4 linked regions of the Caenorhabditis elegans genome follow. The protein of the gene in region 4 purifies or fractionates together with the protein of the main gene of each other region. This does not show direct contact. Each region holds a gene or a part of one and is shown on either strand. Other genes may lie near its edges.

Evidence for each region.
Region 1: the proteins of prmt-5 (region 4) and T25B9.9 fractionate together in Caenorhabditis elegans (co-fractionation; one large-scale study listed by BioGRID). This does not show direct contact.
Region 2: the proteins of prmt-5 (region 4) and acdh-7 fractionate together in Caenorhabditis elegans (co-fractionation; one large-scale study listed by BioGRID). This does not show direct contact.
Region 3: the proteins of prmt-5 (region 4) and dnj-11 fractionate together in Caenorhabditis elegans (co-fractionation; one large-scale study listed by BioGRID). This does not show direct contact.

The regions. Positions count from the first base shown.
Region 1 is NC_003282.8:10,768,024-10,772,684, forward strand, and holds the start of T25B9.9 (6-phosphogluconate dehydrogenase, decarboxylating), read left to right. Parts: upstream 1-1,629; 5' UTR 1,630-1,637; coding exon 1,638-1,967; intron 1,968-2,090; coding exon 2,091-2,160; intron 2,161-2,194; exon of another isoform or gene 2,195-2,289; coding exon of another isoform or gene 2,290-2,401; intron 2,402-2,763; coding exon of another isoform or gene 2,764-2,873; intron 2,874-2,920; coding exon of another isoform or gene 2,921-3,166; intron 3,167-3,212; coding exon of another isoform or gene 3,213-3,325; intron 3,326-3,387; coding exon of another isoform or gene 3,388-3,510; intron 3,511-3,558; coding exon of another isoform or gene 3,559-3,689; intron 3,690-3,737; coding exon of another isoform or gene 3,738-3,956; intron 3,957-4,004; coding exon of another isoform or gene 4,005-4,059; intron 4,060-4,123; coding exon of another isoform or gene 4,124-4,267; intron 4,268-4,337; coding exon of another isoform or gene 4,338-4,341; exon of another isoform or gene 4,342-4,661. Other genes in the region: T25B9.8 (Lin-15A/B-like domain-containing protein), read right to left, coding at 1-65, 113-136; inpp-1 (Inositol polyphosphate-related phosphatase domain-containing protein), read right to left, coding at 2,290-2,401, 2,764-2,873, 2,921-3,166, 3,213-3,325, 3,388-3,510, 3,559-3,689, 3,738-3,956, 4,005-4,059 and 1 more. UniProt on the Caenorhabditis elegans protein: Catalyzes the oxidative decarboxylation of 6-phosphogluconate to ribulose 5-phosphate and CO(2), with concomitant reduction of NADP to NADPH.
Region 2 is NC_003284.9:17,214,480-17,218,703, reverse strand, and holds acdh-7 (Medium-chain specific acyl-CoA dehydrogenase, mitochondrial), read left to right. Parts: upstream 1-1,598; 5' UTR 1,599-1,601; coding exon 1,602-2,030; intron 2,031-2,094; coding exon 2,095-2,225; intron 2,226-2,605; coding exon 2,606-3,035; intron 3,036-3,335; coding exon 3,336-3,584; 3' UTR 3,585-3,686; downstream 3,687-4,224. Other genes in the region: acdh-10 (putative medium-chain specific acyl-CoA dehydrogenase 10, mitochondrial), read left to right, coding at 3,808-3,895, 4,011-4,224.
Region 3 is NC_003282.8:6,584,142-6,588,713, reverse strand, and holds dnj-11 (DnaJ homolog subfamily C member 2), read right to left. Parts: upstream 2,844-4,572; coding exon 2,760-2,843; intron 2,708-2,759; coding exon 2,431-2,707; intron 2,386-2,430; coding exon 1,850-2,385; intron 1,796-1,849; coding exon 1,658-1,795; intron 1,602-1,657; coding exon 1,239-1,601; intron 1,189-1,238; coding exon 817-1,188; 3' UTR 528-816; downstream 1-527. Other genes in the region: lec-11 (Galectin), read left to right, coding at 25-160, 229-479; F38A5.2 (TraB domain-containing protein), read left to right, coding at 3,314-3,409, 3,461-3,506, 3,578-3,805, 3,861-4,159, 4,215-4,340, 4,385-4,522, 4,568-4,572.
Region 4 is NC_003281.10:5,228,638-5,235,058, reverse strand, and holds prmt-5 (Protein arginine N-methyltransferase 5), read right to left. Parts: upstream 4,505-6,421; 5' UTR 4,481-4,504; coding exon 4,185-4,480; intron 4,136-4,184; coding exon 4,054-4,135; intron 3,961-4,053; coding exon 3,767-3,960; intron 3,686-3,766; coding exon 3,404-3,685; intron 3,360-3,403; coding exon 2,954-3,359; intron 2,677-2,953; coding exon 2,195-2,676; intron 1,576-2,194; coding exon 1,404-1,575; intron 1,180-1,403; coding exon 961-1,179; intron 913-960; coding exon 841-912; 3' UTR 552-840; downstream 1-551. Other genes in the region: mrps-26 (Small ribosomal subunit protein mS26), read right to left, coding at 280-441; atp-2 (ATP synthase subunit beta, mitochondrial), read right to left, coding at 4,824-4,924, 4,973-5,684, 5,732-6,361, 6,411-6,421. UniProt on the Caenorhabditis elegans protein: Catalyzes the symmetrical dimethylation of arginine residues in targets such as small nuclear ribonucleoproteins, histone H2A/H4 and cbp-1.

The sequences.
Region 1 (4,661 bases), on a different chromosome or scaffold from region 4:
ATGTTTGTACTTCTCAGAAAATCAATCATCAACACGTTGAGCATTTTCTTCTGATAAGCTTGTTTCTGAAATTTGGATTTTTTATAAATACCTAGGAAACTCTAAAACTGACCTCTTCATTGCTGATGTTCTCCATTTAGTTTTATTATTTAGGTAAATTAATTGCATAAAAAAATAAAGTTGACAATCAATATGGTAAGAAACTCGCTCAACGCAGGGTCAGCAGCGACGCAGACAACGAGACAAAGGCAGTGTAGGCAGCGAAACGACGGCAGAGATGTGTTTTGTGAGAATATAGGAGAATGAGGACGTAAGGAGAAAAAAAATCGTTGAGTGAACGATGAACGCTCTTATTAAATTAAAAAAAAAGAAACTAAAAATTAATGTAGAGAATTCAGTTCGAATTACCGCCGTAGCCCAATAGAGCGAGTTTGCGGACCTCTCAAGAAAAAGTTTTTACCTTAAAAGATTAGTGTGTCAATTTCAATTTTAAGTTTTCCCGTGTTTCTTTGGATCTTATTCCTGCTTGCGCATGTTTACATAAATTAAATGTACTCTGATTCCCGTTTTACAATGCAATTTGTTCTCTGAACCTCCAATTTTCTCATCATATTCGACGCTTTCAATCCTGAGCGAAAACAAAACACCTCGAGAAGATCGAATTGTCATCGTTTCTTGTAAAATTTTGAAAAAAGGTGACAAAACCTCCGGCATTTTTTGTTTGCGTCGTAGCCTAAAAGTAACAAGAGTGCAGGGGAGAAAAAAAAGTAATTCAATGCCAAACACCACTTTGTTTTTTGTTCATTCGTCGGCATTCGTCGGCACTCGTTCTAAAAGAACAGAAACTTATTTTCTCCTATCATTGCGTTCAATTTTTGAATTCAGGAAATACTTGAATCCTTATCCTTGAAATATTTTGAAATTTTTCTTTTCGAAAACCTATTGAGGTCAATTTTCTAGAAAGATAACATCTCACAGAACTCCGAGTGTGGTCTACAAGATAGTCACAAATTTCCCCCAATCTCTTATTCACTGCAGAAATCTGTCTCCGTCTCTTTGCTTATCTGGTTTCCTCGTTTTTCTTTTTTCTGTGCACTTTCCGTCAACCAGTTCAGTTTTTCTAACTGTACCCAATTATTGTTATAATAATAATTACACGGCCTATAAACAAAACAAATCGCCTCCACTAGTCAATATATAAATAAGCGATGGAAGTTGAGTGGAGTAGGCCACAAAATAATGATGATGACATTGATTGTTTGTCCAAAAATGAAGTAAAGAGCGGGAGGCGCCTCCTCACAAAAAACTAATCAAAGTCGTCTCTCACGTTTTTACAACTTTCCCCGAATTATCCAAAAACGTTCACATCAAATTTATAAATTCTGAGTAATGAAAAAATCCTTTCTGGCATCACTTTTTTCGAAACATTATCATCATTGTTTCATTGATGTTTCCCGAAATTGAACCATTTTGATCAAAATTTCACACATGAGAATTGTTTTCTGAAATAAATTGGTCATTTACGCCATAAGAGACTTTTAAAAATCAATTTTGTAACCGCAATCTATATTTTTCTTCTCTCCGTCACTCTTAAAATCCTTTTTTTTAATTTTCAATGGCTTTTTCCAGAAATTAAAATGGCCGAAGCTGATATTGCCGTCATCGGATTGGCCGTTATGGGTCAAAATCTTATTCTGAACATGAATGATCACGGATTCACTGTTTGCGCCTTCAACAGAACTGTCAAATTGGTCGACGATTTTCTTGCCAATGAAGCTAAAGGAACTAAGATTATTGGAGCTCATTCAATTGAGGAAATGTGCAAGAAATTGAAAAGACCACGTCGTGTCATGATGCTCATTAAAGCCGGAACTCCTGTCGATATGATGATCGATGCAATTGTTCCGCATCTTGAGGAAGGTGATATTATCATTGATGGAGGAAATTCTGAATACACTGATTCAAACGTAAGTTTTTGTTTTTTTCTAAATATTTATTTATTTTATTCATTAGACTTTTCTCTCTAAAAATAAAATAAATATGTAATATAGTGAATCGATTGTGAACTGACAAACAACAATTATTTTCAGAGACGCTCCGAGCAACTCGCCGCAAAGGGGATCATGTTCGTCGGCTGTGGAGTTTCCGGAGGAGAAGAAGGTATGAATTTGTATTTTGAATTGTTTGCAAAGAGTTGAGGTATACGGTAATTTATTTAAAAATACAATAACAGGGATTTAATGACCAGATTAAACCAAATGTTTGGAAATATGCTTTTTTAGATTAATATTAGTTCACTGGTCCACTTGCATCCACCGAGTTGGTTTTCATTGATATTTCTCTTTCCAGCGACTTTTGTTGCTTGTAATGTTCAGGAACCGGCTTATTGATCACAGTTAGCCTAGAAAAATGATTAACCAGTAAATAGTGAACAATTAAAAGTAAGGTTAATTGGAAAAATGATTAAAAACCATTCCTATGATGCTAAAATGACCAAATATCAAAATAAAACTCTTCGCTAAATTAACATGAATATTTAAAACATAATTATAACATAAAACCAAAATAAATTTTTTGGTACACTACTTCCAAAAAAATTGGTGAAAACTGAGTTCGCACCGCTTTTTGACTCGAAATACAAAAATTTTACAAAATTTTTTGAATATATTTAATATTATTTTTGGTAATTTAAATACAATATTAATGGTTTTTAATCATTTTCCAATTAACCATACTCTATTGCTAGGTTTAAAAAAAGCTAACCAAAAAGTGGCAAAAACTGCCTTATGATCCGACGGTGTTGTTCCTCTCATACAATCGTACTGAATGTTTTGGAGCCATTCCGAGTTTCTTACCCAAAAGAGAACGCGGTCCTAAAATATTGAAGTCTTAGCAATGTTTGTAATCAGAAATTACTCACAGTAAAAGACGGAATCCTTTTTGGCACATAATTGTCTGTGTCTGGCTCGAATTTATGTGTTGGAGGGAATTTAATTGGAGCTTCCTTGAAATCTGTGAATGCTAATTGCTTTTTCCTATGACTGGCAAGCTCTTCTGTTTCAAAAACATCTCTAAATGTTTTCTCTGTAATCTTTTCCGGATCTCTCCAGTCTACATTGCTCTCTACAGTAACCCGGAAATTCAAATCTCCAATCCAAAGCACCACCTGAAAATGATTTATGGAGGAAGTGTCGCCCTTCAGAGGCGCTTACGTCAGAACCAAAAATTTCGTCTTTTGCATGTGCATGAAATCTGGCAAGCTGAGGAAAACGAAGAGTGCGGACCACTTTAGCGTAGTCTTGGATACGTTGTTGTGGTGTTGCATCTGTAAGAATATAACATTTTTGTGTTCTCATCATTAGTCTAACAATGTAAGGGACCACTCACGTGATAAATGACATCCGATAAGCACTATAAATCGCTGATATAAACGAAGACATACCGCGATTGCACCTTTCGTTCGAACTGGTTTTGCCATTGCACCAGATGCGATAAATGATACTTGTGGTTCTAGAAATTTTAAACTATTAGATTCTAGATTATAAGATCTGAACTCACGGATTGCATATCGAAGATGTTTCTGTCGAATGAAGACTATTACCATTTGACTCCAGGCTCTATGTGAAAGGTACAGACGATGACCATTGAGAACTGGCTCAAGAATTCGTAATGCTTCTTCATGAAAAGTTCTGAAACTGATTTTAGTTAATCGAAAATTAATAGTTTTCGGAACTAACGGTGCTGTGGAAGGTATTTCTTGCAATGAGATGAAAAATATATCACTATCCATTTCTTGTCCTCGTTCTGCTATTTTCTGAGCGAGATGGCTCAATATTTTCACACCTTTTTCGTTAATGTTCCATGTCACGGTACATACTTTCAGTTTTCTATCACCCATAGCTTCAATAACGTCGTAACTGACAATTGGAACATTCCCAAATCCTTTTACAGCAGGGCTAAATATCATATGTTCAATGAATGATGAAAAAAAAGTAATCACTTACGCAGTATTTTGCGTTTCAATGCAGTATGTCCAATTGCCGTCACTGATCTCGTTGACTGAAATGAAGTGTAATGGGTGTCAGAACAATAGGATTAAGTCGGGGAAGGATTAGAGGCTTACATGAGGCGCTGTTACGCCACGTGGCAGGTTGAGAGGAAGAACGGAGCCATGGAGGGTGTCGAGTAGGAGTTTGATGTGATTGCTTCTCACTTGAAGAATCTCCTGATTTTGGATCACCTCCAGATGCAGAGGGAGTGTTGGCATCTAAAAGAAATTGATACGTCCAAATAAATGTAGAATACTAGATTTCAACTCAAATGTTTCTCAGTCTTACCCATTTACTGTATGAATTAAATAACTTGGCTTATTGCTTCGTTTCAACCAACTAAGCTTCGAAATGCATATTGAAAATAGAGAACATAAATCCAATAGCGACGGACTCTATCAGAGGCTTCAAGTATAGGAACGGGAGGGAAGAGCGCGCACTTTTGTATGTCAGAAAGCCCGCGTTTTTCGTGTGCAATTCGCTCGTTTTTGTCCGATGATAAAATGACGAACAAGTATAACGGACGACTCTGGTGTTGGTGGTGCTATATAATGTTATGTAGATTTCGGTGTGCAAAGGGAAATGGGCAAGTGCAGAGATGAATGGGGACAG
Region 2 (4,224 bases), on a different chromosome or scaffold from region 4:
TAGGCCTGCGACGCGGTTGTTATTTACTCAAACCTAACAACCAGGTTTGAGGGCCGCAGGCCCGAATACTCTTAAAAAATTGTGGGCTGGCTTTAATCCTATTCCAAGCAGAGCAGGCCGTATTCATGAGTTTTCCTTTTCCTTCACCGTTTTTTGTAGTTCACAGTGATGATTGAAAACACGCTTATTTTATTGAATACATTCAAATTATTCTTGAACAAAATCTCAGCCTAAGTTATTCGTACAGTGTCGGTCCTGGAGCAATGAATCAAAGTTTAAAGAGATTTCACTTTACACAGTAAGAGCTTCGAGGCGAAGCCTCAAACCTGAATAGTCAAGTTTTCTAAACATATACCCACTCCTAAAATAATTTCAAAGAGATCTCGAATATCCCGTTAACAGGTTCGAGGCGAAGCCGAGAACCTGCGCCAGCTACCTTGCTAATAACTTAGAGCGAATTAACCCTATCCCCATTCCCGAAGGGCTGGCGGGCCCATAGGCCCGCTAGTCGACAAATTAAGCAAATCGGCAGATTGCCGGTGTGCCGGAAATTTTCAATTCCGGCTGTATGCCAGTCTACCGATTTTCCGGACAATTTCATTTTCGGCAAAATGCCGATTAGCCGTTTGCCGGACATCAATTTACCGGAAGTGGCCAAAGGGATTTTTGAAATAAAAACAGATGTAGGAACATTCATAGGATGCCTACAATTTTCCCGATTAAAATTGAAATTTAAAAATTTCCAAGAAAAAATTTCGGGAATTTGCCGATTTGTCAAAAAAAAACCCCACCCCTTACTCAAATTTTTGCAATAGAATTATTTCAAATGTATAATGTTTTTATTGTCTATACTTCTGAGTGAATCGGAAACTAAACTCTTATTAGCTGTTTTTTCTTTCTCTTAATCCTGCGTCTCATTGTTCATGAATTGTGGATATTTTTATTTATAAACATTCTTGGTATACTTTTTTCATTGATTTTGAATAATAGTTGAACATAAAAAAACTGCTCAATTAAAGTACCAAAGTAACATTCATACGCTCCGAAGAACATGCACCTATGCACTTTGGACTTTATAGTGACTACACTGTTGCCATGTGGTCATTTACCTGCGTTACACCATCTGCGTCTCGCACTCTCTTACCACAACACTCTGCCAACACAACAAAGTGCCACACCTGACGACAGTCTGCGGACCATCGATCCCCCCCCCCCCCCCCCCTCCCCATATCTCGCATTCATTTCTCTTGAGTACACCACCCCATTTTCGCAGTTCTCTGGTTCTTTCTGTTTGATCTCTATTAATCTCATATTCTTCTAAATCATTGGCAGTTTTTCCCAAAACAGTATCAAAAGCGTGCCATCCTTATCACCTCCGTGACTTTCTTATCCATACCCAACAACAAGTAGTCTCCGCCCAAGCGGGCCAATTCTCCATCTCTCTCTCTCTCTCTTTACCTTCACAAAACATTTTTCTCTTGATGATAGCAGCAGACGCCACATACACCGTGTGTGTTCCAATTTTTTGTTGTTGTCTTTTCCTCAATTACTAGGATTATCGATTTTTCATAGCAAACTCTCAATAAAGTTTTTTTCAGAAAATGCTCTCCAGAAACTTGACGAAATGCACGCGTCTGTTCAGCACCACAAACAAGGCCATGTCAACCGGCATGGACTTCCAGTTGACCGCTGACCAAGCAGAGTTCCGTGCAAATGTTCGCAAGTTTGTTGCCGATGAGGTCATCCCAGTTGCCGGCGAATACGACAAAACCATGGAGTACCCGTGGGAGATCATCAAGAAGGCTCATGCACAGGGATATCTGATCGCCGACATTCCAGAAGCTTATGGAGGACTTGGAGTTGATATGGTCTCGAATTGTATCATCAGTGAGGAGATGGCATATGGATGCTCGGGTATTGCTACCGCTATCATGGCTAATGATCTTGCACTGACCCCGCTCATTTTATGTGCCAATGATGATATCAAGAAGAGATTCCTTGGTAGAATGATCGACAATCCGTTTGTGGCGGTAAGTATTTTCGAAATATACTTGAGTTCTTACGGTAAATAACACCTAATCAATTTTGTTTTAGTCCTACGCCGTCACCGAGCCAGGAGCTGGATCCGACGTCGCCGGAGTCAAAACCAAGTGTGAGAAGAAGGGTGATGAGTATATTCTCAACGGCTCAAAGATGTGGATCACAAACGCCGGACATGCTAACTGGTGAGTGAGTTCCACGTGGTGAGGATCTACGTCATTGTAAAGTCGGGCAGACTACAATGATTGGTCGACTACACAAAACTTGGACTTTGTACCGCTAGACGTGGAAATGAGAGAGAGAGAGAGAGAAATGGAATAGAGAAAGAAAGAATGCGACAGGAAGATGAAGAACCCTCGTTTTTCTTATCAAAACGTGTACTTATAATCAACAGGTCAAAGTGCAATGATTCTAGGAGACGCGAGAAAAAAGGTCTACCGTAGATATTGTTATGGGCCACTGTAAATCCATAAATATGCTGAATGGAGCATTCTGGAAAAATCTATCTGAAAATAAAATATTTTGTCGCTAAAAAATTCACAACATTCCTACGCTCTTTTTTCAGGTTCTTCGTGCTTGCCCGTTCCGACCCAGACCCAAAGACCGCAGCAGGAAAAGCCTTCACCGCATTTGTCGTTGAAGGGGACACCCCAGGACTCACCAGAGGACGCAAGGAGATCAACATGGGACAACGATGTTCAGACACCCGTGGTATTACCTTCGAAGACGTCCGTGTTCCAGCCGCCAACGTCGTCGGAGCCCCAGGAGAGGGATTCAAGGTCGCCATGAAGACATTCGACAAAACCCGGCCAACTGTTGCAGCACTTGCCACCGGAGTTGCTTACCGCTGCTTGGACGTCGCCACACAGTATTCTCTGGAGAGAAAAGCGTTTGGAACGCAAATTGCCAACCATCAAGGAGTGTCGTTCTTGCTTGCCGAGATGGCCATCAATTGTGAGCTCGCTAGATTGATGACCTACAAGAGTGGTGCAGAGGTAGGTCAAGCAGAATCAAATCAAGCTTTTTGAAGGATAAAATGTTTATGTTAAAATGGGAGGCGCCCCGTAAATTTACAAGTCCGCAAACACCATGACGCATTTGATGCAGCAGGCAGAACATCACAGTGATGTACATAGGAATATGAGCATAAAATCGGTACTATTATAGGAAATTACAAAACGCTATACGAACTTCAAATGCTGATTAAACTTAGAAAAGATTGGTCAGCACGCTAATTGCCAGCCATTTTCTGCAGAAACACACTCAAACTATCATAATTTCCCTCACTCTTCCAGGTTGACGCTGGCCGCCCAGGATCCTACTACGCTTCGATCGCCAAGCTCTTCGCTTCCGACACTGCCAACCAAGCCGCCACAAATGCTGTGCAAATCTTTGGAGGAGCTGGTTTCAACACTGAATACCCAGCGGAGAAGCTGATGCGTGACGCCAAGATCTTCCAAATCTACGAGGGAACTTCGCAAATTCAACGCATGGTCATTGCTCGTCAGTTGCTCGCTCGAGTCGCTCAGAATGGAGGATATTAGCACGCCACCCGTTTTTCCCCGTTTGATCACAGTTTTGTACAAAACACTGGTATATTTTGTAATTGTAAATGATTTGAAAAAAAAAGAAACAGTTTTGATTTACTTGCTTTTTTTATTTACTTTTCGCACTTTACGGTTTGTCACCGTGTTACATATTTTTGTATTGTTTTTTGGTTGTTTTTTTTTAATTCTCAGGTTTTAATTCAAAAGTTGCAGGTTAAATATGCTTTCCCGAATTGCAACATCATCGCTGGGGCTTTCCCGCTCTGCAACCGGAGTCATTGCCACTCAATCTCGTCAAATTTCTTTTGGTAAGTTGAATATACTTTTGGCAACTTATCCAAAGTAATCTAGATTTTAGTAGCTCTTGAGAATAGACAGAGCAAAACTAAATAACTGTACGAAACTTAATTTGACAATTTTCAGACCTCAGCGAAACCCAAAAGGAGATTCAAGACGCCGCTCTCAAGTTCTCCAAGGATGTTCTCGTCCCAAATGCAGCCAAGTTTGACGAGAGCGGAGAGTTTCCATGGGAAATTGTCCGACAGGCTCATAGCCTTGGACTCATGAACCCACAGATTCCGGAGAAGTATGGTGGCCCAGGAATGACCACTCTTGAGACTGCCCTCATTGTTGAAGC
Region 3 (4,572 bases), on a different chromosome or scaffold from region 4:
TAAAAACAATCAATTTAATTCCAGATCCACGTGGACGGACATCACATCGGACATTATCATCATCATAAATGCCCAAAACGAATCGTTGCAATGACTGTTCGAGGAGATCTTCGAGTTGGAAAAATTCATTTCGAAAACTTCAAACATCATAACGGAGGAGGTTGGTTTTTATCTTAATATTCTGGGGATTTTTTTTTGTTTTTTGATTTCCAATCTTAATAATTCTAGGTACTGAAATCGGTGTAATGCAAATGCCTGTTGCTCCAACTCCGATCGTTGTTGCTCAACCACCGCCTCCAATGATTGTTCCCCAACCACAGATTGTTCCGGTTGTTCAGCAAATTATGCAACCAATGGTTCAACCCATATATCCAAGTGTTCAACCAATCGTGTATCCAACTGCTACTCCAATCATCTATACTCAACCTGAAGTTATCTACATGGACGGTTATCATCACCACCGTCACCATCACTATTGAAATTTGTACTTATTGTGAAAATGAATGAATAAATGAACATGACAAATTGATAGGGACGCACCGTTCATCTAATGTTCATAACTGAGACATGAATATTGAGCACTGCAGAAAAAGTTTGATGACAGAAACAAAAAAAAAAGTACATAGTACTACTGAATTTGAGTTGGTCAAGAGTCAAGAATGATTAAGGCTTTCAAGAATAAATGAATAAATGAAGAAAAAACAATATAACGAGCTAAAATGTGATGGGAACGGAAACAAGAGTTATGGAGGAGAAACAAGAAATAATATGAAGGGATGAGGAAGATTTAGAGAAGATATTACTTGGACTAGAAGATCATTTCTTATTTTTAACCATTTGAACGAGATACTTGAAACGACGAATGCAGGCTTTTTTGGACTTTGTGCCAACTTCTGTTGAGATCTTTTCCCACCGCTCGGGATCACTTGACTTATGCTTCTTGATAGCGTCCTCTAAAGTTTTCTGTTCGGTTGCTGACCAGACATCCTCATCTGGTAGCGCAGTTCCTAGCTGATTTTGAGTAGTTGATGGTAGCTTGACGTTCATCGTTTGAACAGCTTTGCATTGCTTGATAACCTGTTTTTCAGTTTTTGGTGGTAAACCCGTAGAATCCTTGCGATGCTCGTTAATGTAATCGGCAATTTGAACCCATCTCTCCACGGTTCCAGGTGGGAATGTGTTTGAAGCCTTTAAAAATATGAAAATTAATTAATGATTTCCAATCGTTTATGTCTTACCTTAACCAATAATTGAATCTCTTCACTAGTCCATGTCTCCTTGTCGGCTTGCTTTTCATTTTCTTTGTTCTTATCCTCAGTGATTGTGACCTTTGCTCCAGCAGCTTCTTTCTTCAGAATTTCAGCATCTGTTAGCGCAGTTTGAATTTCAGAAGCAATTGAAAGTGATTCGACCTTCTCGCACAGCTCTCTGAGTTGATCAACAGTGAACCCAATGCAAATCCGCTCAATTCTTTCCATTTCAGTGAGCTTATCGCGAGGATTCTCCGTCCAGTGGCCAGCTTCATCAGCGAGTTTCTTCAGACGCTTACGCTGCTGAGACATAGCTTTCTTGGCAATATCACGCTCTTTCTTTTCTCTCTCCTGAAAATAATAGTTAGTATTTAAAAATCGACAATATTCTGGTGTATTGTGCTCACTCTTTCTTCCTTTGCTTTTCTGTCAGCTTCCTCTTTCTGCTTAGCTTCGGCTTCTTCCTTTTCACGCTTCTCACGGTCGATAGCTTCTTGCTTTTCACGGATGGCTCTTTGCTTATCTTCCTTTGCTTTATCTTTTTTCTAAAATTTAAAATTGAAAATCCGGCAAAGTTTAGGCAAAGTTTATAGACTTACCGCTTGCTGTTCCTTCTTGAACTTGATAATTCTAGGATCCTTAGCATAAGCTATATCAACCAACTTTCTAATTCTCTTCGCCTCTTCTTTCCGCCGTCTTTCTCTTTCTGCCTTATTCTGTTTCTCCATCTCTCGTCTTTCGTACCGATCTTCTCCTCTTTCCTTGTCTTCTTCGTCCAAATACGAGAACTCGCGCCATGACTGGAAGTTAAACCAAAAATCGTAGAAATTCTCGACATCCTCCCGGGTCGCATCTGATTTACCAAGTTCTGGCACTGGCTTGATATTGGACCATCTGGAGTTTAATTGGAAAACTGGAGCAAGTTCGTTATAAAAGTTATTATGGTTGATTGATTTCTCATTTGGAATAATATCGTTGAATTTATGATCGACCGAATCGAAAGCTTGACGTTTGACGTCAGACATTCCAACTTGTTCATAAGCTTTTGTGATACAAGTAAAGTATTCTTCCTTCTCCATAACAATTCCACGATGCTTCTTCTTGTCCGGGTGATGCTTCAAAACCTTTTGACGATCTGAAATAATTCTCTTCAAAAAATTCTCACTTCATTTTAACTTACAACAGAAACGAATTTCGTCAGATGTAGCTTGCCATCTGAGCTTCGACAATCCTAAAACTTTGTAGTGATCCTGATTTTTGCAGTCATTTGGATCCAGCTTCATCAAGTACTTTTCATATTTTTCATTATCAGCATCAAAAAGATCTTTTCTCAATTCAGCTGGCTCTTCAGACGACTTTTTTCTTTGCTGTTCCGTAACAGGCTTTGCAACAGGAGAGTTTTTATAGATTGGAAGCGTACAGTGGCCCAGTGTGAGTTTATCTCGAATAAGGCGAGTCTGAAAATGTCAGTTAAGAAATATTTGCGGACATAGGTGATAGTAAACTCACTTCATAGCATATTCCGGCTGGCTCAAAAGCTCTGCTTCGAGCTGTGAATCCATAAATTGCAACTTGTAAATTGCCCGTAGTCATCTATAATTATTAAATTATTTTGAGCCTACTTTAGTCCTAAAACGAAATAAAAGAACATAATCAGCCTAGAAATTTCTGTTTTCTTTTTAAATCGCGTGACCACAGTTGTTCATAAAAGATTTTCAGCAACGAAAGAGAAGAAAAAGGGACATAATCTGAGAAATAAAGCTGAAAAACTACTGAAAATAATTGCGGGGGATTTACGAAAGAAGAAATCGTGCCATGGTTGCAAAATGTCGAGTGCGGCGCGGTTTTAACCGAGTCACAACATAAATTATGGAGACGGAGACACAATGCAAACGCGCTTCGCTGGTCTTTTTTGTTTTTTTTTCTTGTAACTTAAAATGGAAACCTGGAGTGATTTGGATTCATTTTAATTGTTTTTCAGCTTTGTAAGCTCCGCTTTGTACGCGATTGTATGAAATAAAACATGTTATAATTTCAAGTTATATCCAAAATAAGGTTTTCAGATGTCAGAGTCATCGTCAAACTTGAATCCAGATGGAACTGAGTTTCCAGACCCTAATGACGTGCCACCACCATCGGAAGATCAATTGACTGAAGAGGTATGCTGAAATATTACATTTGTAAAAATTATTAACAATCTCCATGTTCAGGATCTATTCCGGATGCGTTCTCTGACAATCAATTCGAAAAAAGGACGTAAGTTTTTTTTCATCGCTTGAAGTTGTTTGGAAAGATAATTATTTTTAAAATATTTAATATTTTTTTAGTTTCAGTTGTTGGTGGTGCAAGTGAGACAGCCGAGCAGTCCATCATATCACTCGCAGATTCGACTTCAAATTTTGATGAGCATGTTGGAGATGATGCCGAGTTGGATTATGAGCTGGAACAAGCTCCTGAAGCAACAGAAGATGGTGCAGTGGTGAACAATCCTGTTTGTGGAGGGTACCATTTCGGAAGGAAAAGAGCAGATGACTTCGTCCCAAATGCCAATACAGGTTTCTTAAAACTCCAGTTCGATGTAACACTGATATCTATATTCTATAATTACAGTAACAGTGCTCAAATGGCCTACAAATCTGGCGATTCCTCCACGCAACCCCGTGCTGAGCGATTCTGATGAAGAATGGAAGAAAGCGATTCTCGACTCCACCATTTATCTCATCGGTACAGCTCACTTTTCAAAAGAGTCGCAGGAAGACGTATCCAACACAATTCGTGCTGTGCAACCTGATTTTGTCATGCTTGAGCTGTGTCCATCACGAATTTCAATCATATCGATGGATGAGGCTCGGCTTTTGAGCGAAGCGAAAGATCTCAACTCTCAAAAAATTATTCAGACCATGAAACAAGTGAGTTCTCATATTTTTGTTGTTGTAATGTTGTAATATTTTCAACTTTTTTAAGAACGGCGCGATTCAAGGAATTCTGCACGTTCTTCTCCTGTCAATGTCAGCGCATGTAACACGTGAACTTTCCATGGCTCCCGGAGGAGAATTCCGTGCTGCTCATCGTGCAGCAGTTGCAACTGAGGTTTGAGTATTTAAAAAGTTTTATTTACAAAGTAACTATTTCAGAATTGTCGTGTAGTTCTCGGTGATCGTCCTATTCAAGTTACACTTCAACGTGCACTGGCTTCTCTCTCCATCTGGCAAAAAATTCGCTTCTTCTTCCACGTTGCATTTTCACATCGTGAGAAGATAACTGCAGAAGAGGTATTTAATTATTCAACCTTTTCCAAAAATATTCCAAAATTATAGGTGGA
Region 4 (6,421 bases):
ATTTATAGATAAGAGTAACAAAATTTAAAACTGTTAAAAATTTATAGAATTCTTCTAAATTTTTCAATAAAAAGTTGCACGTTTTTTTGTTGCAAGACTGAAAAAACCCATTTTTAAGGAGTTAGAAAAATACTGTAAATTTTCTAACAGTTATATTCGGTATATTGAGACATTTTCTGTCATTTTGGGAAAAAGCCCCGCTGGCGCATTTTTTTCGGCAAAAATTGGATTTTTTTATGTTCCAATTTTTGTTCTAGTGAAAAAATCAATAGAACTCACTTTCTTCGATGGAGGCAAAATTGGTGGTTTTCCCTGCTTTGGTTGCCGTCGTCCCATTTGTCTCTTCTGTACTCCGAATACTTCGTCCATTTGTGACATGGCAGATGCCAAAAGACATCGTCCCGTTGAAGAAATTGATAAACGAGAACTGTTTATCAACATTCTGAAAATATTTTTAAATGAAAAATAATTGGGAAAACTTTAAAATCTCTATAAAAATATGTTTTAGTATGAAAACTAATAACTATAATTCAAAATTACAAAAAAACAACAGAATAAAACAAGCTCTTTAATTCGGAAAATTAACGGAAACTTAAAAACTGAATTTTTAAACAATTAATATCGAATTAAAAGGAGCAACAATCGAATCGCGATAGATACCGGAGCAAAAAAGAATCTTCAAATTAATGAACCGGAAAATGGGCAACAGGAAATGGGAAAACCAACGGAAAAAATTCTAGGAATGATTGGGAAATTCAATAGGGGCGCAAAAGTGAATAACACATCAACAATTAGGATTAAAACAGGAAAATAATAATTATAAAAGCGAAAAACTAGGCACTACATTCTCATGTAATAGCTCTCTCCATTTGGATTCTGGATCGGGGTGCTCACAGATTCGCCATTGGTTTTCTGGAAAAAACTCAACTATAATCTTAATAAGTTATCAAAAACTGTTACCTTTTTTTCAACATGCCATTCGTACCACACACCAGTATTGTCAACTTTTCGATCGATTTTCAGAGAAATTCTGTCACCTTCTCCAACTCTCAATTGATCTCTAAGTGGAATAACAGCTGGGAACCAACTGACCATTCCAGGTGTATGAGTTGATGGTTCAATTGAAAGCATCACGGTTTTGTAGAGTTGAAGATCAAAGTAGCCGGCGAATCCCATCAGCTGAAATAAATTAGGTTCTAACTTATTTGATTTTTAATTTAATAAACACATATTTTATCAATAAAATTTTTCAATTCATTGTTTTATTTTCAAAGGTGGACTGTCATTTGTGCGAATTTTGCATTTAATATAAGCAAATTACCTCAAATAATCAACGAAAAAATATTTTTAAATTTTCTTAAGAATTTCTAAGTTTTTTTTTTTTTTTTTGCTGAAAAACTTACATCTGCATTTCTATCCATAACAAATTCAATAGAATCGCTTCTCTCATTGCTTGAATTCATGAAATTTGGATGTTCAAATGTGAATACTGGTTTGGTGGTTTCGGCAAGTGGAATGTATTTTGAAAGATATACAACGTAGATTTGATCCATATTGTTACGAACATGTCCTTGTCTGAAAGAAAATGTTTATTAAAATTTAAAAAAAAAGTTTTTATGCTTTTTTTTTAATTAAAAATTATTCTAAAATAAGAGTAAATTGAAGCATAACTTGTGGAGCGGATACTCCCGTCAAGAAAAGATGGCCTAGAAACCTCCGTGTACTCGGCCAGGGCCTTTATGTACACAAGAGTAGAAAACTTCAGAAATATTTATTACCACAACATGAATTTTAGCGATACTTTTTCTAATATTACGGTACCCGGTATCTACACGATAAATATTCGTTAATACGAAACTTTTTGTACCTTTGAAGAGTACTGTAATTTCAATATCCCATGATTTTTCATAGTTTTTTAAATAAAAATCAATATCAATTTATCAAAACTAAACTAAAATAATAAAATGCCAACCAAAAAAAACTATAAAAAATTAATAAAAACTCTGCAGCAACAAGTCTTAGATTACAGTATAGTTTAAAGGTGCACACGTTTTCGCATATAACAAAGATTTTTGTTTGAATTTTTTTTTTAATTTTAAAAATTTTGTCTAATCGAGACCGGGACTAGCAAAATTTGGCATCGGGGTAATAAGGCAGAATGTTTATATTTTTATAAAAAAATTGAAAAACAAACGGGTATTTTTGAATCCACATTTCGTCTTCATCCAATTCCGGTTCACCTCTACCATGCGATGGAATTGCACGACTCAAATAAGGAATACTTTGAGCTTTAATTGTTTGATGAATATGAGTACTCATTATTGGCTTCACATAGCTAGTGTACTTCTGTGGAATTGAAATTGTTGTTGGCTTCAAAAATCCAGTGACACCATCTAGACATTCAGGACTCAACTCGTTATCTCCAAAACTTCCAAGAAGTTCCGAAACAATTATGTCAGGTTGTTCGAATCCACGATCTTTCGCAATTCCCGGCAGACTTCGCATATCACTTTCAATAATCGTTACTCGTCGTTTCCATGTTCTCACATTCATATATTTCAGAGTGACGATTGCATTTGGATTCTTTTCAACAATATAAAGCTTCACTTTGAGACTTTCTTGGCCTTGTCGGAATGTGTTGTTGTATTCTCTTTCAGATTTCAGAATTTTCGTTCCCTGAAAAAAATTGAAATTTATAATATTTAAAACTATGGAGACGCATAAAAATGCCCGTTTTGATATTCATTTAGACCGAAAAACTGTAAATTGAAAAATGTTGCAGTTCGCTTCAGACAATTGGCAAAATTAACTGCAAAATGTTTGAATTTCCGGCTTGTCGCCAACTTCCAAACGAGACCCATGGTCAGGGGGTGGAGTGTTTTCAATTGGCCACAAAATATGTTTTCATGTCGAATTAAAAGGGACTTTTTCTACTTAATAGCCAAAAACTCACAATAGGACCACGTCCTCCTCCCAACAAGTAAATGACAACAGTTTTTCTTCCGTCAGCTCCAAGATCTTTTAATGCTCCAACTACAGCTTCTCCATACACGTCGTATTTAATTTGATCCTGCTCGAATGTATTATAAACTCCTGAATCCAAATTTTCAGACAATGGTTGAAGAGGTGCTTGCAAAACATCTTTGTATTCGATAACATTAAGATAATGAGTGGAGTCATTCGATCCTTCTCCAACATCAGGACGACTTCGGTAATTAACATTTCGAACTGCATGACGAAGAGCTTGAGAATACTCGGATTTGATAGAAGTATTGTACTTGAATGTATCCGTTGTGGCACGAAGAACGATCCGAAGTGCATCAGTTGTCCATAGATGTTTTAATAAATTTATGTGGGCACTGAAAAATTAGTATTTATTTGAAAATGTAATCTTGAAATTTACCTTGGAATTGATGCTTCTCCATTTCTTCCAGAAATAAAAAGACCCGATTCGATAACAAAAGCTGCTAGGGGCTCGGCCTTCCAACGGTCCACAAGTTTAAGCTCAGTAAGCTCATCGGGAAGTTCCGAAGAGATCGTCAAAGCCACTTGGAAATAAACACCACTGAAATTACCACAATTCTTCCGGAAATCGGCCCAAATTGTCCATAAATCAACATGTTCTATTGTGAAAGCGTCATAATCTTTGCACTTTTCAATTGCAGACGGAAGTTGAACCCAAACACTGAAAATAAATATAAACTTTGCTTTTTTAAAAAATATTTTACTGAAAAAAAGGAGCTATTTCATATTGCATTTTACTTACGTAAAACGCGAATTTCTAGTCCAAATCCATTTTTTCAAAATGGCAGCAGTACGAGGCGACGAGATGCGTGTGAGCTCGATTGCCATCGTTTGAAGACCCAAATAACAAATGTAGCTGAGCTCTTTCAGAAGATGTTCCTCGGAAAGCGAGGCAAAGGCTGGATCAGAAGAGTCACAGTCGATCCATGGAGAAATCTTGAAAAAAATGACAATTTCAGGTTTTAATTTAAGAATAAAGGGCTTGTTCTTCGAAAAAGTAATTAAAATTAAAAAAAAAACCCCCCATACTTTTCCTACAACATAGCTTTCCCAGAGATCATTTCTCAGCTGAACATCGGGCAAATCAATAACAGGTGGATGATTCTCCGCGCTGAAAATTAGTAGTCTAGTTGAAGTTGGGTAAGATAGTCGATGTGAACCTTCCATTAGGCGTCCAGAATGCGCGAACGACCCCTCCAATCGGGTAGACGACAAAGTTATACTTGAACTCTCCCAGTCGTGTACAGAAAGTAGCAACATGACGGTCTAGATTCTCGGCAACGTCCAAGGTTGTGGCCATCCATCCGATGTGTATTCTAGAGTTCGCTGCCTCAACAGAGCTTATACTTCTGCTGGGAGAATTACTTTTGGGCGAAGAACCAGAAGACATCTGTTCCTCATGCTGCTCCGCGACCTGTTGTGGAAACAGATTATCGGCATACGTTCTGTTACTCATTCGTTTAACCTGAAATTTGACGATCAACAAACTCGCAGTTTTATCATCGGCTTTCTGTTTATTTCTGATAAAAATATACTAGAAGTCAAATGAACTTGGGGTGTGAAAAAAATAATGTTTTTGCTTTATTTTTGTTGCCTTTTAGGGCATTTGGGTTGGTAGTTGAATTCGAAGAAGGGAGAGTGAGAGATGGAAAACAACGTATTGGGAGTCACCAAATAGTGGTCTGACGGAAACAGCACTACCGCAACAATACAATAAACTATACATTAAATTTATCTCTACCAAAAAACATTGAAAAAAAGAAAAACGAAGTGTCGGCGTTATAACAAAAAAAATAAAACTAATTTCCGTGTTGCTTGGCGAGTTCTTCGGCCTTCTTGAACACATCATCGATTCCTCCTTGCATGTAGAAAGCAACTTCTGGAAGGTGGTCGAGTTCTCCTGAAAATTGATTTAATTTTAATGTTTTCAACGTTTAAATATTCTTACCCTTGAGAATCATGGTGAAACCGCGGATTGTCTCTTCGAGTGATACGAACTTTCCTTGATGTCCAGTGAACACCTCAGCGACTTGGAATGGTTGGGAAAGGAAACGTTGGATCTTGCGGGCACGTGAAACGGTAAGCTTGTCTTCCTCGGACAACTCATCCATACCAAGAATAGCAATAATATCTTGGAGGGACTTGTAATCTTGGAGGATCTTTTGAACTCCACGAGCAATGTCGTAGTGGTTCTGTCCGACAACGTTGGGGTCCATGATACGGGAGGTGGAGTCAAGTGGATCGACAGCTGGGTAGATAGCCAATTCGGCAATACCACGGGACAAGACAGTGGTGGCGTCCAAGTGAGCGAATGTGGTAGCTGGAGCTGGATCAGTCAAATCGTCAGCAGGTACGTAAATAGCCTGGACGGATGTGATGGATCCCTTCTTGGTGGTGGTAATTCTCTCTTGCATACTTCCCATGTCAGTGGCAAGGGTTGGTTGGTATCCGACAGCGGATGGGATACGTCCGAGAAGAGCGGACACTTCAGATCCAGCCTGGGTGAAACGGAAAATGTTGTCAATGAAAAGAAGCACATCTTGTCCTTCCTGGTCACGGAAGTACTCGGCGACAGTGAGACCGGTGAGGCACACACGAGCACGGGCACCTGGTGGCTCGTTCATTTGTCCGTATACGAGAGATACCTTGGAGTTCTTTCCCTATAAATTGTTTATTTAAATACCATGAACCATTTTTTCCTACTAACCTTGAGATCAATGACTCCTCCTTCAATCATTTCGTGGTAGAGATCGTTTCCTTCACGGGTACGCTCTCCGACTCCAGCGAACACAGAGTAACCTCCGTGAGCCTTGGCGACGTTGTTAATGAGCTCCATGATAAGCACAGTCTTTCCGACTCCAGCTCCTCCGAAAAGTCCAATCTTTCCTCCCTTGGCGTATGGGGCAAGAAGATCGACGACCTTGATTCCGGTAACAAGAATCTCCTGCTCGACGGACATTTCGACGAATTCTGGAGCTTCAGCGTGGATAGCAGCGAAGTTCTTGGATGCAATTGGACCTCTCTCGTCAATTGGCTCTCCAATGACGTTCATGATACGGCCAAGAGTTTCTGGTCCGACTGGGATCTTAATCGGATCTCCGGTGTCAGCAACTGGCTGTCCACGGACAAGTCCTTCAGTTCCGTCCATAGCAATACATCTGACGACATTGTCTCCGAGATGTTGAGAGACCTCAAGAATGAGTCTTGGGGAACGTCCGACTACCTCGAGACCGTTGAGGATTGGTGGAAGGTTCTCATCGAACTGGACGTCGACGACGGCTCCGATGACAGCGACAATGCGTCCGGAAGCGTTAGCAGCTGTAGCCTTGGCAGAGACCTTAAAACCAGAATTGAATTGAATTTATCTGACTAAAAAAAATACAAACCTTGGTGGCAG